Linked DNA regions of Canis lupus familiaris. The protein of the gene in region 1 purifies or fractionates together with the protein of each later gene. This does not show direct contact. Links are inferred from orthologs where the notes say so. Each region holds a gene or a part of one and is shown on either strand. Other genes may lie near its edges. The genes, in order: IRF7 and TRIM21.

Region 1 (7,307 bases):
ACAGAGCACCCACCTCCCCTGTGTTGGCCCTCAGGGACGCCGCTTCACAGGCCTCAGAAGCCCCGGGAAGGGGTCTGGGAAGCAGAGGACATGGGCCCCTCGGTGGGCTTCCAGCAGACATCCTTCTCTGAGCCCCCTCCCCCCGGCTATGCGCTTCCAGAGTCTGGCTTCCCTGACGCTGAGCCCTCTCAGGTGGGTGCCTGGGCTGGAGGGACGTGGTCTGGCGCCCGGCCACACGGGCTGTGCCAGGCTGGGGCTGAGGGACTTTCCTCTCTGGCCAGGGCTGCTCCTGCTGTGGGGCCGGGAGCGGGAGCGCCGCCCTAAGCTGTCTGTGTTTTTGTCCAGGTTTATACGTCCAACCTGCCTCCCGCCCCAGCTCTGCCCGTGAGCCTCCCACCCTACGCACCGGCCAGCCAGCCCACAGTGCAGTTCATCCTGCAGGGGAGCCTGCCCCTGGCCAGCTGTGGGGTTGCACAGAGCCCGGCCCCCGTGCCCACCTCCCTGGCCACGGCCTCGGAGCCAGCCGGCCACTCCACTGGTGCCAGCAACTCCGAGGAGAGGACGGCCGCTCCCAGGCCTGCCGCAGAGAAGGCCAAGAATGAGGAGGTGAGTCCAGGCCCTCCCCGCTCGGGGCCAGGCCGTGTGCAGCCCTGTGTGCAGGCGGGGCGGTCACACACGTGTGTCCTTGCTCTCAGTACATGAAGAAGCTGCACATGCAGGAGCGGGCAGTGGAGGAAGTGAAGCTGGCCATCAAGCCCTTCTACCAGAAGAGGGAGGTGACGAAGGACGAGTACAAGGACATCCTCCGCAAGGCGGTACAGAAGGTGGGTGTGGGTGGGCAGGGCGGGGGCCGGGGCATCATGGTCACGTCCTGGCTGCAGCCAGAGGCCACTTCTGTCTTCCTGTCCCAGTAGCTCATAGGTGCTCGGGAAAGGTAAGCACTGGAGTTTGGGAGGGGACGGGACCGCGCTTTGTTGCTTGTTCTGTGGGCGAAGTAACAGAAGGTACGTAACGCACCATGCTTGCAGGTGGGAAAGCAGGAGCCCGAGACACCGACGGTTCTCAGGCCCAGGGCGTCAGGGCCAAATCCATGGCTCGTGGGCCACAGTCTCCAGCTGGGAGACGAACCCTCAGCCGCTGTGCGAGGCAGGCACAGCGGGGGATGTCGGGCTCTGTGCCCTGTGGTCCCTGTGGGGATGTGTGGGTCATCTGTGCCTCTCCTCTCCCCCCAGATATGCCACAGCAAGAGCGGGGAGATCAACCCCGTGAAGGTGGGCAACCTGGTCAAGGCCTATGTGGACAAATACAGACACATGCGCAGGCACCGCAGGGCCGAGGCTGGCGAGGAGGCGCCCGCCCAGGGCCCTGAGAGCTGAGGGCAGGGAGAGCGGGGGGCGATGGCCCCCGTCCCCAAGCAATTCTGTTGGGAGTGGCAGAAGCAGAAAACTCTGAAGACACCCAGCCAGCACTCCTGCATTCAGGGTTCTGTGATCACACGTGCTCTGTGCACTGGGCCTGCTCACAGTTTAAAACTGGACTTTTTTATATGTATATTATAGATACACACTGTTTCCATTGTGTTCTAATTTATCAAAAATGGATTATCTTTAGAAACTTGTTGATTGACTCAGTACTTGAAAGGTGAAGCCTCTGGCGATCGGGAGGGGCCTGGGGGGTGGAAGGAGCCCCCGACTCCCCTCACAGGTGCCCGATGTCCTGCCCTGTGTAATAAGGGAAGGCCACTCCCGGCTTCGCTGTCGTGGCTGTAAAGAACGCTCGTGTGTGCTGCCTCCCAGCAGGCAGCGCAGTGCTTGGATTGGAAGGCGGGGCCCTGCGCACAGCTGGGTCGGCCGCTTGTGGTGCCCACCCCCCAGCACACCTGCCAGGAGCAAACACCTGCTGTCCCCAGAGCGTTTTGTATTCTTTGAGTAGAGTTTGTTGGCTCTAAAGCGTGTGGCCTGTTTCTTCATGGTGAAGACAGAGGAGAGCGGGTTGCACGGGAGGCCTGAGTGGGAGTGCATGCAAGTGTGGTGGCGTCCCTCCCCGGGCCCCAGGGAAGTAGGGTGAGCCTCAGTCTGTGCTGCCCTCTGAGCGCCCACCCCTGGTCAGGACACCACGCATCGGTTCAAGTCCTTTTTATTGGCTGGGAGAGCGGCCCGGCGCTCAGGCAGGTGGCTCTACCTCCATGAGGAAGTGTTCCAGGTCCTCGTAGAGGCTGTTGGAGCTGGACAGGCAGAGGCCGAGGCTGCTGCTGTCCAGGGAGGACACCCCTTCTCGCTGCACGTACTCCAGGTGCGCCCGGCACAGCCGTGGCTCCAGCTGGGGGGGGGGAGTGGGGGGGAGGTTGTCGGCAGGCTGGCTGGGCACTGCGCACAGCCTTCCCACAGGACCCCATGCCTCACCTTCACCAGGACCAGGCTCTTCTCCTTGGGCCTTCCAGCCGACAGGTCCTGCCCAAAGCCCAGGTAGATGGTGTAGTATGGGGAGCCCCGACGCCGGCGAGCCCGGAACTCGGCCATCTCTGCAGGACAGGACCTGGTGAGCAGGGCCCGGTGGGACGGGAGGGGGTGGGGCAGCATCGGCCCCCGGATAGGCACGTCACTGACCTCGGAAGAACGTGCTGAAGTCGAAGATGGGGGTGTCCTGGTTCCTCTGCAGCAGGCGGGGGGCTGTGGAGGGGCTGGCCGAGCCCAGGGGCCCTCCCACCTCCCAGTAGACCTTGCATTTGCCCAGGCGCCGGGCCCATAGCCCCGGCCCCCGTAACTCCAGCTGCAGGCCAGGGGCCACGTGCTGCAGCAGCTTCTCTGTGTAGTGAAGCTGCTTCTGGTCCGCGAGCTTGGCCGGGCTTGGGAAGGCCACGCAGTGGGGCTCAGTGGCCCTGGTGGCCAGGCTGGGGGGCCCGTACAGGAGCACAAAGCTTGGATGCCACACCACCTCTTGCAGCACCGTGCGGCCCTTGTACATGATGGTCACATCCAGGGCCCTGAGCTCTGCCTGCAGTCCTGGCTGTGAGCAGCCGGGCCTGGCCAGGACCTGCTCCCCTGCCACTGGGGCGCAAGGCTCCACCTCTTGGGGGGGCTGCCACGGCTCCGAGGCTGGGCCTGTATCTGGAAGGAAAGGAGGGCTTGACTGGCACCTGGCCCCCCAAGCCCTCCGTCCTTCACACTCCCATGGGCTCCTCTCACCTGTCATCCGGGCCTGGTGCAGGACCTGGGGCTCAGGGCTTGGGGCCATCTCTGCTGCCCGTGGCTGGTATGGCTCCATGTCAGGGAGCTCTGGGCCTGAGCAGCACGACAATGGGCACAGCTGTGGCTCGCACCACCTCTACTGCACATCCTCCTCCCTCTCCACGAGGACCGTGCTGTCCTCCCTGCTCCTCCCCCCCCCCCCCCCCCCCCCCCCCCCCCCCACAGAGCCCTGCAAGGCAGAGCATCCCCATCTGGCCGGCCTCACCAGGAGTGCCTGGAGTGATTGCATCCACTCCCCATGCAGCTTCCAGCAAATGGTCCTCCAGGCAGCTCTGCTGTAGGGCCTGGAGCAAGAGATCCTCGGCATTGCCAGCTTGGCCCAAAGGGGCGCATGGGGCACAGGGCTCAGGGCTCAGACTGTGCCCCAGCCTCTGGCCAGCATCTCCTCCCAGGCATGGCCTAGGGAGCCCACCCTGCAGGGAAGACAGGGCCAGCATAAGCAGCTCCCCAGCCCAGGAAGGAGGGCAGCCCCCACCTGGGAACACGAGCACCGGGGGCAGAACCGGCTTACCATCAGTGGTGGGGTGTCTTCACCCGCCTTCTCCCCATGGTTAATCGCCGCAGCTCCTGAGGGAGAATGGGGTGAGACTGCAGTGGACATGATGTGTCCTTGGGTAGGCCCTCAGAGCAGGGTGGCTCCACCACTAATCCACCCCAGCAGGCCCAGTCAGCTCCCCCCCCCCCCCCCCCCCCCCCCCCCCCCCCCCCCCGTCCCCAACCACCTGGCACCTGCCTCTCTCAGGTCTGTCTCAAAACCCCGAGCCTGCCCCAGGGATGTGCTCCGGTACAGGGCGAGGTCCCAGCGCCCTCGCCGCACCGTGTCGGGCCTGTGCGCCCGGCTCCCCTACGGCGGCCCTGCCGTGGGGTTCCTCACCTCTGCACCCCGGCTCGGAGCTCAGTGCGTACACTTTATGTGGGTCAGTGGGGTCCCCGGAGTTGTCTTGGAGCATCACAAAGCGCTGGGTGCTGCGCAGGGCACAGCGGAAGTTGGTTTTCCAGCCGGCGCGGAGTGCGGCCTCGCAGGCCAGCTGGTCACGGCCGCCGCCGGGCGGCCACCTGCCTCGGGCCACCGCCCAGGCCTGGGGAGGGGTGGAAGGTGTGAGCCTGGGGCCCGCCCGGCCGCAGCCCCCCTGCCCGCCGGGCCGCGGCCCACCTTGAAGATGAGGGCGTCGGCCTCCCCCAGGTCCTTGCGCGCGAAGTGCTTCCAGGGCACGCGGAAGCGGGTGCGGCCGGCGTCCAGCCACCGCAGGCCCTCGTAGCGGCCGCTGCTCACCTCCCCCAGGAGCCAGTCTGCGAAGAGCGGGCGCGGGGCCCCCCTGCGGGCGGCGGCCGGCAGTCAGGGTGCGGGCGAGGCCGGTGGCCACGCACCCCGGCGGCGGGCGGGCGCTCACCTGTCCGCGGGCACGGCCATGGCCCGGGCGGCGGGCGGCGGGCGGCGGGCTGCTGCGGGTGTGCGGTTCCGGCCGCGGCGGCGCTGCTGTGAGCACAGGTGCGGGCGGCGCGGCCCGGGCGGGAGGGCGCTGGCGGGGCCCGCGGGGACCACAGCGGCACCGACGCCTGCGCGGGCGTGCCCGGGGGCGGGAAAGCGAAACCGCGCGCGCCCGGGAAAGCGAAACCTAAGCCGCGGGGAGGCCTCCGCGCTCGCGCCCCGGGGCCCCGGCGCTGCGACCCCTGTCCTCGGGCCCGCCCCGGCTCCGCGGGCCCGTCGCCGCCCGGGCTGCTCCCGCGCTGCACGCGCCGGGCCTCCGAGCACCTGCGCGGCGGGGCTCCGGGCGGGGAGGTGCGTCTCGCCGTGGGGCTGGGGACCCGCGCCTTTATGAGGCCGGCGGGGGGCGGGCCGGGGGTGGGGCGGGGGCGAGCCGGGGGCCGGCCGCGGCCGCAGGTGCAGCCGACTAGCGCTGCGGCGGAAGGTTCCCACGTGTGTTGACGGCAGCGCAGGCTGCGGAGTGCGGGCCGGGCCGGGCGGTGCAGGGGCGGCGGGAGGGCCTCAAGGAGCACCCCGCCCCCACAGAGGCGGGACGGGGCAGGGGGCCCCTGGCAACCAACCCGGGCCTCAGCTGAAGACCCCACACAGAACCAGGCTCTTCCTTTTTCCCAGGAAAGTGGGTGTTGAAGGAGGGCGTGGGGCAAGTGGCAGCCCTATAGTTCAGGTTCTCTTTTAGTGTTAAGTAGAGGGGGCCCAGAGTGGAGCCCACTGGCCGGTCCACAGACGGGAGTGCCCCGGACTCCGGGCGTGACCCCGGGGCCCGGAATCGAGTCCCGCATCGGGCTCCCCGCGGGGAGCCTGCTTCTCCTCCTGCCCATGTCTCTGCGTCTTTCTGGGTCTCTGATGAATTAAAAAAAAAAAAAAAAAAGAAAAAAACAGCTGAGATCAGAGTGGGATGCTCAACCAACTCGGCCATCTAGGCCGCCTCTTGGGGTTTTTTTTGATTATTTTTTTAAGACATTTATTTGAAAGACAGCTGCAGACTGGGGGGCGGGGGCAGGCAGAGGGAGAGGGTCCCCTAGAAGACTTCCCGCTGAGTGCGGACCCCACCCCCACCCCGGCTGGATCCTGGGACCCTGACATCACGACCTGAGCAGAAATCCACTGTCCCCAGGGAACCGAAGAACCAGCCAGGCGCCCCCCCCACTCGGTGGCTTTTCGATTTTTTAAGATTTTATTTATTTATTCATAGAGACACAAAGAGAGGCAGAGACACAGGCAGAGGGAGAAGCAGGCTCCATGCGGGGAGCCCGATGTGGGACTCGATCCCGGGTCTCCATGGTCACGCCCTGGGCTGCAGGCGGCGCTAAACCGCTGCGCCACGGGGGCTGCCCAGCTTTTGGATTCTTAATGAGAATTATCCAGACAAGAACATTCACATGTCCCTAAGAATAAGACATTTGTTTTTTTTTTGTTTTTTTTTTTGTTTTTTTTAATATTTTATTTATTATTTATTTATTTAAGTCACAGACAGAGAGAGAGAGAGGCAGACACACAGGCAGAGAGAGAAGCAGGCTCCATGCACCGGGAGCCCGACGTGGGATTCGATCCCGGGTCTCCAGGATCGTGCCCTGGGCCAAAGGCAGGCGCCAAACCGCAGCGCCACCCAGGGATCCCTAGAATAAGACATTTGGAACGGCATTGGGGATGCCTTTTCATCAGGAAAAGCGCGGAGGGCCCACGAGGGTCAGGGAGGTCCCCCCCTGAGGAGGCCCCCAGAGGGGTTCTGTCCCCGCTGCGGCCGCTGCGCCCCGCAGGCCCGGGACCTCGCCCTCCAGAGTAGTGTTCCCGAGGGGGGCCCCTCAGCCCCCAGGCAAAGAAGGGGTGCCCCCGCCGCGCAGGGTGCGGCCGCGGTCACACCGGGAGAGGAACTTGGGCCGCCAGCTGGCTCCAGCCCGGGAAGCCCCGAGGCGGCAGGTGGTTTACGGGAAGCGGGACGCAGAGCTGCGGGGGGCGGGGGGGAGGGGTGGGGGAGGGGACGCATAGGCCACGCCTTCCCCTCCGGCGGCGGCTCTGGGCACCCTGGCGCAGCAGAGCTTGGACACCGTGCCTTTATTTTGCGCGGGGGGCGGGGGGCGCCGGGCTAGACGTAGGTGGAGCCCCCGCCGGGCTCCCCGTCCTCGTCGTCCCCGTCGCCGCTGTGCTCGCTGCCCGAGTCGGGGGCGCGGGCCGCGTCGGGGGCGGGCGCGTTGAGGACCACCACGTCGGCCTCGGCCCCGATGTCCTCCCCGAACCACACGGCCTTGTAGCCGCCCTCGTCGGGCCGCCGCTCCTTGGTCAGGATGGACCTCACGGCGGCGGGGCTGCCTCCATCCCGGGCCGCCTCGGGGGCGCCGGGGGCAGGGCCCGCGGCTGCGGAGCCAGAGGCCTCTTGGGGCGTGGGCTCGGGGGGCTCGGGGGGCCCCGCCCGCGTGGGGCCGGGGGAGGCGCGCGGAGCCGGCGCCCAGTTGGCCTCTTGGGGGTCCGAGAAGGCCTGGTTGTCGAAGGCGAGCGCCTGGTGGTCCTGGCGGGGAGACGGGACGATCAGGGCATCACCCAGGCCCCGGCCCGGCTGGGGCTGGGACTGTCCCCGG
Region 2 (7,279 bases), on another chromosome or scaffold:
GAAGGTTATCCCACAAATTCTGGTAAGAGATTAAAATGAACTAATATATGGTGGCTTTTTTTTTCATATCCACTATATATACACACACTTCAGAGAATCTAAGGCAGGGAGGTAGAAGTGGCCCCTATCACCATCAGACTAGGAACTCCTTTAGAGAACACTTTCTTTCCAACCCTTAACATATGGCTCAGCCCTAAGGTCTGGGAGAAGACCTTCTACCAGAGTAGGTAGCAAACCTGGTTCTAATAAATTGGAATTTACAACTATCCCCCGGCTCCGTGGGGCTTCTGCAGCCACTGATGAAATAGGCAGAGGATGGGGTTTCTATACTGACTGGAGTGACCTATTCCTATTACCAAGGAGAATTTAAGTGGCTGGTACATAATGGGGCAATAACAACTATGCCTAAAACCCAAAATATACATTGGAGATATTCCTAGTAATGACTGCCTGATGACAATGGCTAGTGAATTAAAGACAGGGACATTGATACTGATCCTTCAAGAATGATTTGGATGACTCATCAGGAAAAGAACACTGAAGTACTAAGCTACTGGCAGTGAATGAAGGGAATTTAGAATGAGTGGTACCTTTGGTTTCATGGCCAATACCAAGGTGGGAACTGTTGAGCATGCATGTGTTATATTAATCGATTTTGTATGTATATTATTAAACACGTACCAAAGCAACCCTGTGGTGTGTGTATTAATATCTTTAATAGATAAGTAAACTGAAGCTCAGAGAGATGGCATGTGACTGGTAAATAGCAGGGTTAGCCCTGAATCCATGTCTGCCCTATCATGAGGTCTATGTTCTTTTCTACCACACCCACCAGCTGGCTTACTCAGTGCCTATAGGAATGAGCGAGGGTAGTGATGTGAAGCAGACTCATTTTCTGAGTGTCTGCAAATTCATATATAGGTCTCTTCTTCCTTTGATTTTTTTTTGTACTGTTTCCACTTTGCTTTCTGGGACTATGTTCCTGGAATCAAATCAGTACAGTGATACAATTTGAATATTAGAGGTCACTTGATAACCACCCACTTACAAATTCTCTTAAAAACAGAACTGGAAATTTGAAAGAAAGATGAAGTATCTTTAGGTTTCCTAAATCTATAGAAAACATTAAGCAAAGTTCAACTGATGTTTTTATCTTAAGGTATACAGGGACAAAAATAAATATGTCTGAGTCGGAAGGAATTGAGAATTCTAGTCTCCTCACCCTTCCTTGTTTCTCCTTCCTCCTCACAGTCTCTGCTTGAGTTGACAGGGCAGCCTGTTATCTCTGGGCTGTCACTAAAATGACGGTCTTCCCTAGACCTTTAACTCTCATGCACCTCTTACTATGTCTCAAGTCATTTTACTCCATTCAGACTCAATGCCCTCTCCTGGAATGTGAGTTTAACATCTCCTAAATCACTAAATCGTTATGTGGCTTAAATATGTAACCTGACACAGTAACAGTATTCACAAGAGTCAAAAGATGGAAGTCACCCAAGTGTCCATTCACAGATGAGTGGATAAACAAAATGCATATACAAACACTGGAACATTATCCAGCCTTTAAAAGGAAGGAAACCCTGTCACATGCTTGTACAACATGGATGAACCTTGAGGACCTTTTAAGTGAAATAAGTCACAAAACAACAAATACTATATGATTCCACTTACGTTGGGGGCACCTAAAGAAGTCAAATTCGTAGAGACAGAAAATTGAATGTAGCTGCTGGGTGCTGAGGGAACATACTGTTTAACAGGCAACAGAATTTCAGTTTGGCAAGATGAAACAAGTCGTATGAGTGGTGCGGATGGGGATACAATGATGTGAATGCATTTAATGCCACTGAACTATATACTTAAAAATTGTTACAATGGTAAATTTTGTTACATATGTTTTACCATAATTTAAAAAAAAAAAAAAAGAAAACCTCAGAAAATCCCTAGCTCAGTGACAAGTACACCGTTGGTGCCTAATAAATGTCAATTCTCTTCTTACCATTCACTGGTATGACACCTGCCTTGGGATCGTGCTGTACATAAATCCCTCACCAGCTGATGTTAAAAGACTATCAAGCCTTTCCTGAAAAGGACTTGTTTCTGGAAGCAGAGGGTGACACGTAAGGGAGAGCCCCAGGCACGTTGTCGCCATCCCACCCTCCCTAACTCCCTGAGAGCAGCTCCCACTCGTGGGCGTCGCCCAGCACGTAGGTGTGGAGCGAGACGACCAGTGTCCGAGGAGGCAGCGTGACCCCTCCACCGTGGATGCGATATTTTCTTGTTTGACCCCGAGGACCTGGGAGGGGACGCGAAGCAAGGACTTGACGCTGCGGAGCTCGGACTTCCTGCCGCCTGGGGCTCCCGAGCTGCCCCGCCTGCTCCCCCGCCCCTCGCGCCTCCCTCTCCTCCCACTCCCCGCCCCTCGGCCCACCCCCTTCGGACACGCCTCGACGGGAAATCGAAAGTGAAATAGGGAGCCTGCCGCCGGCTGCCGAAAGCCCTGAAAAGGTGAGTGACTCGCCCCGACCCGAGTGCCCCCGCCCTGGCTGGGGGACCTCTCTCCCCTGCCCCATCTAGTCCTCGCCCCTGGGGCCTGCAGACCCGGTTCCCCCAGGGCTAGCCCAGCCCCAGCCCCAGTCCCAGCCCCAGTCCCAGCCCCAGCCCCAGCAGTTCCTCCCGGGCTGGCAGCCTGCCTGGGACGGGGCCCCAAATGTGAACGTGACACCCAAGCCCCCGGGGGCGCTGCCCTAAGCGGGGGGCACCGGGGCAGAAACCTAGCCCAGCCCGGAGTGTAGTCCGGGCACTCCCCTCGACACTTCTCCTCTGGGGGTGAGAGGGGGCAGGACAGTTTCAGACGCTAGAAACCTGTGGGTCTGTGCCCCAGAGGCAATGAAGCCAGCTACCAGGTTCCCAGAAGGGAGAGGAGAGCCCAGGGAGTGCTCAGGCACTGTTCATGTGCGCATATAAACATATACAGGTACCCATATGCACACATATACCTGCAGGTATATATACATACAGACAGATATGTAGAAATATATTCTTATGTATATAATCACAGATATAGAAGTAACTCCTGTGATTATTGTGCAGATAATGAAGATATTTCCAAAGCAGGTAGCACCTTCTCTGGCTTATGGAGTGTACAGAGTACATGGTCCCTGTCATACAGATGAGCTGCTCAGCAGCGGACTGGTGACCTGAGAGGGCAGAGAGTGGACAGGAAAAGCCTGGGACAGAGGATGAAGCAGAGAGGGCCATGATGAAAATAGAGTTATAAACAGCTTTATCTCTGAAGTTCTCAACAACATTCAGTTTCTTTGGGGGACTCAGTTTCCCCTTCTGTCTGACTAGGTAAGTGGATGAGACTAGAGAGGAGAAGCTCTTATTATTCAAGTTAATGTTCTGGTGTTGTTTTCACCCCTTCCACTTCACTGTTCCTTGTGTTTTCCTTTGGATTGTTTTTCTTCTCACACAACCCTTCTCTTCTGCTCATTTCCCTCTCTCCTCTCCCCACCAGGGTACCCCAGGATCTCCACAGTGCTGCTTACTAAGAACATCACCCCTATGGCTGCAGCAATGCCCTTGGCAATGATGTGGGAGGAGGTCACATGCCCTATCTGCCTGGATCCTGTAGTGGAGCCTATGAGCATTGACTGTGGCCACAGCTTCTGCCACAAATGCATCTCTGAGGTGGGGAAAGATGGTGGCGGCGTCTGTCCTGTGTGTCAGCACACCTTCTTGCTCCGAAACCTCCGGCCCAATTGGCCACTGGCTAACGTGGTGGACAACCTTAAACAAATTGGCCAGAATGCCAATGAAGTCACACAGAGGGAATGGTGTCAGGTACATGGAGAGAGACTGCACCTGTTCTGTGAGGAAGATGGGAAGATCCTCTGCTGGGTATGTTCCCAGTCCCAGAACCACCGTAACCACAAAACGGTCCCTGTCGAGGAGGCTGCTCAGGAATACCAGGTAAGGACTTAGCACAGAGGCCTGACCAAGTAGAAGGGAGCTGGGTCCGTGCTTGGGGTTTTGTTCTCCAGAGTGAGGGAGGCAAAGTCACCTGTGGAGTTTCAGGGTTGGGAAAAGGAAGGGGTTTCCCACCTTCCAGGTCTAATTGAAGCAGAGAACTGCAAGCTCAGGACAGCTTTCTCATTCCCCAGGACCAGGGAGTACGCTTGGGAAAACGCTGCAAGGATCACACTTCCTTGTGGCCTTCTGGTTAATTAGGAATGAGGAATGCTCCAACTCCACACCACCACCTCCAACAGCGTGGCTGTGTTTTGAAAGAAACCTCAGGCTCTTGCCAAAGTCTTCCCATCCCCAGAATCTCTATCCCAATCAGACTGTAGTCTTCCCTCTTTCTCTGCACTCAAGTTTTTCAAAGAACCAGCATGTCTTCATGGCGCCTCACCCTACTTCTTGGACTGGTCGGGCGCTAACCTACCTTTCTCTGCAGGAGAAGCTTAAGGTGGCATTAAGGAAACTGAGAAAAGAACAAAAGTTGGCTGAGGAGTTGGAAGTGAATACTGCAATGAAGAGAGCAGCCTGGAAGGCAAGTGTTGTGCTCCAAAGGGAATCTCAGGTCAGAAGCCAGGGCAGAGTCCAGGGCCCCAGACTCAAACCCTAAGCATAGCTATGCCCATCTGAGGAGTGATAATATATCTCACTCACCATGAACCAGCTGTCCTCTAGGTCTCTTGATAGAGGTGAATAAAAAGGAGAGAGCTCAGATCAGATAGCAAAATCAAGAGTCTTAGGAGAAGGTGCCATACCCTTCGGAGAGGTACAAGCCATACCCTAAAGCTCCTGCTCCTTAAGCCTAGTCTTAAAACATGACGGCACCTTTGCCTCCATGTCTGGTCAGTGGTCTCTCAGGAGAGATGCCCAATGGCTAGGCCTGTCAGGAGGTACAGACTTAAGGGAACAATCCAGGTCAGACATAGGCAACTATCTGGTCATGCTGGTTTTTCTGACTGTGTTCAGATCACTGGTCCAAAGTAGGATGGAGAATAAAGCTTGTTCTGTATCTATAAGGGCATGGAGGGAACTCATGGCCAATAGAGCCCAGAAAGGAAGATTTGGGATCAGAGAAGGGTGAGTCAGGCTGTGGTGGCAAAAGGACTCATCCTGTGCCATCGGTGACCTTCCAGTCACTAACAGAAGAGCAGCCAAGATTATCCCCAAAACTCCTTTTCCTCAGGCCTGGGGAACAGTGTTATGAGCCTGTGTTTGGATGGTTGTTGGGGTGGGGACAGGTGTTACTCTCTCAGGAACTCACTAAGATATGAAGACAGATTTGGGCACATCGAGGTGCAGACTGGGTTTTGAAAGAGGCTGTAGAAAGTCGATAACATAGGTCAATGCAGCTGTGGTTGTAGGACAGCCCCAGTGTGCCCCACCATAATCCCATTTCACTCTTAGCCCAGAAGCCTCACCCACTTCCTGCTCTAGCAAAATAGTGTATGTTTGCTCTCAGACCCAGAGTGGTGAGTCTATGGGGAATAGAAATGGAAATGACCACCTCTGTTCCCCAGGCTTAGGGGATTTTGACAAAATCATCCTCTCTTTCCATGGACACCAAAGAGTCAGGTTGAGAGACACAAACGGAGGATTCACGCAGAATTTGTACAGCAGATAAACTTCCTGGCTGCGGAGGAACAGAGGCAAATGCAGAGGCTAGACATGGAGGAGAGGGAGCAGCTGAGAATCCTAGGGGAGACAGAGGCCATGCTGGCCCAGAAGACCCAAGCCCTGCAGGAGCTGGTTGTGGAGCTGGAGAGGAGGAGCAAGGGCTCACCCCTAGAGCTGCTGCAGGTGAGCCACCCTCTTCTCTGAGGCTCCTGGAGGAACTGAAAAATGGCTAGAGCTCCCTGATGCTGCCAACAGCAAGTAGAAACCCTGTCCCTGGAATTCAGACCCATGAGTAGTTTACATTCAAGCCACAGAATGGTGCAGATTTAGGAGGAAATATTCCTTGCAGCAATTGAAAAGAACGGCATCCCCAGCAAGAACCTGCTCTAACACATACTAGGCCCACAACCTTGAGAAAGTTCCTAACCTTTCGGAGTCAAATTTCTTATATGTTAAATGGATATTAGTACATCTCTCAAAGGATTTTTGTGAGGATTAAATGAGAGAAACCACAAAACCTTCTACGTGAGCCTTTGGCCATGGGAACGTTCTCATACATGTAACTGAAAATACAGCACTAGAAATTAAAAGACAGTAGCCCAGCCCCAGCCCTGCCACCAATCCTTTCCATAATTTTAGGTCAAGTTTGTTCCTTTTCCTAGACCTACTTTCTCCATTTGTGAAACAAGGGGGAGGGAGTAGACTGAATAACAAGGATTCCCCAGACATTAGTCACTGATATATCATCTTCACACTTTCTGCCACTTCTGTGCACTACCCAAATCCTGTTAGCATGTTTTTGGTTTTTTTTTAAGATTTTATTTATTTATTCATGAGACACAGAGAGAGGTAGAGAGATAGGCAGAGGGAGAAGCAGGCTCCCCGCAGGGAGCCCCATGCGGGACTCCATCCCAGGACCCCAGATCACAACCTGAGCCAAAGGCAGACACTCAACCACTGAATCACCCAGGTGCCCCAGAATGTTGTTTTCTTGACATTGCCTTACACCTTCATTGGAAGAAATTTAGCTTAAAAGGAAATTTGTCCTAAGCAACAGTAGCCAAGAAATCATGTGTTGATATGTTGCTGATTTTTTTTCTATTTTCATGACAACGGCTCTTTCTTAAATAGCACATATGACATGCCTCGGTCTATTCGATCTGTCACAACAATGCAGTGAGATGGGTGCTGTTATCCTCGTCTCATAGATGAGAAAACAGAGGGGCAGAGAGGTTGAGAAACTTAGAGACTAAAGCTGAATAACTTGACCAGGTTCACCCAAATAGTAAGAGACAGAGCTAAAATTAAAATAAGCACATAACTATTTTTTAAAAACTCATCGATGTGTGTTCTACTTAAAATTATCTTGCATCCCCTAATATGTTTGCCTTGTTGTGGCAAACTGTTGACCAGAGGGTCTCAAAAGTCCCTTCTGCTTTAACCTTGTACAGTTTTTCTCTTTCAAACCTTTTTGGTGTCTGTGTCGGATGTGGTCATGAAGCCATTGTTTTGTTTTTGTTTTTGCCCTTCTCATCCTCTAAATCTTGCTTCTGCCCAACACTGAGCCATGCTTTCTAACACACTTTTGACTGGGCCTAGGACTCTGCCAGTTCCCAGGTAAGGTCTCCCAAGCCCTACAACAGCA

The links.
Region 2: the proteins of IRF7 (region 1) and TRIM21 purify together in Homo sapiens (affinity purification with mass spectrometry; 3 studies listed by BioGRID, with this or other methods). This does not show direct contact. The link is inferred for Canis lupus familiaris from reciprocal best matches to the Homo sapiens genes IRF7 and TRIM21.

Annotation. Positions count from the first base shown.
Region 1 is NC_049239.1:26,056,711-26,064,017, forward strand, and holds IRF7 (interferon regulatory factor 7), read right to left. Parts: upstream 4,681-7,307; 5' UTR 4,660-4,680; coding exon 4,640-4,659; intron 4,565-4,639; coding exon 4,402-4,564; intron 4,328-4,401; coding exon 4,123-4,327; intron 3,816-4,122; coding exon 3,760-3,815; intron 3,662-3,759; coding exon 3,454-3,661; intron 3,282-3,453; coding exon 3,186-3,281; intron 3,108-3,185; coding exon 2,607-3,107; intron 2,522-2,606; coding exon 2,403-2,521; intron 2,320-2,402; coding exon 2,164-2,319; 3' UTR 2,121-2,163; downstream 1-2,120. Other genes in the region: PHRF1 (PHD and RING finger domain-containing protein 1), read left to right, coding at 35-192, 346-606, 696-824, 1,233-1,376; CDHR5 (cadherin-related family member 5), read right to left, coding at 6,818-7,237.
Region 2 is NC_049242.1:26,904,865-26,912,143, reverse strand, and holds the start of TRIM21 (E3 ubiquitin-protein ligase TRIM21), read left to right. Parts: upstream 1-2,386; 5' UTR 2,387-2,505; intron 2,506-3,517; 5' UTR 3,518-3,564; coding exon 3,565-3,972; intron 3,973-4,459; coding exon 4,460-4,585; intron 4,586-5,586; coding exon 5,587-5,817; intron 5,818-7,279. UniProt on the Homo sapiens protein: E3 ubiquitin-protein ligase whose activity is dependent on E2 enzymes, UBE2D1, UBE2D2, UBE2E1 and UBE2E2.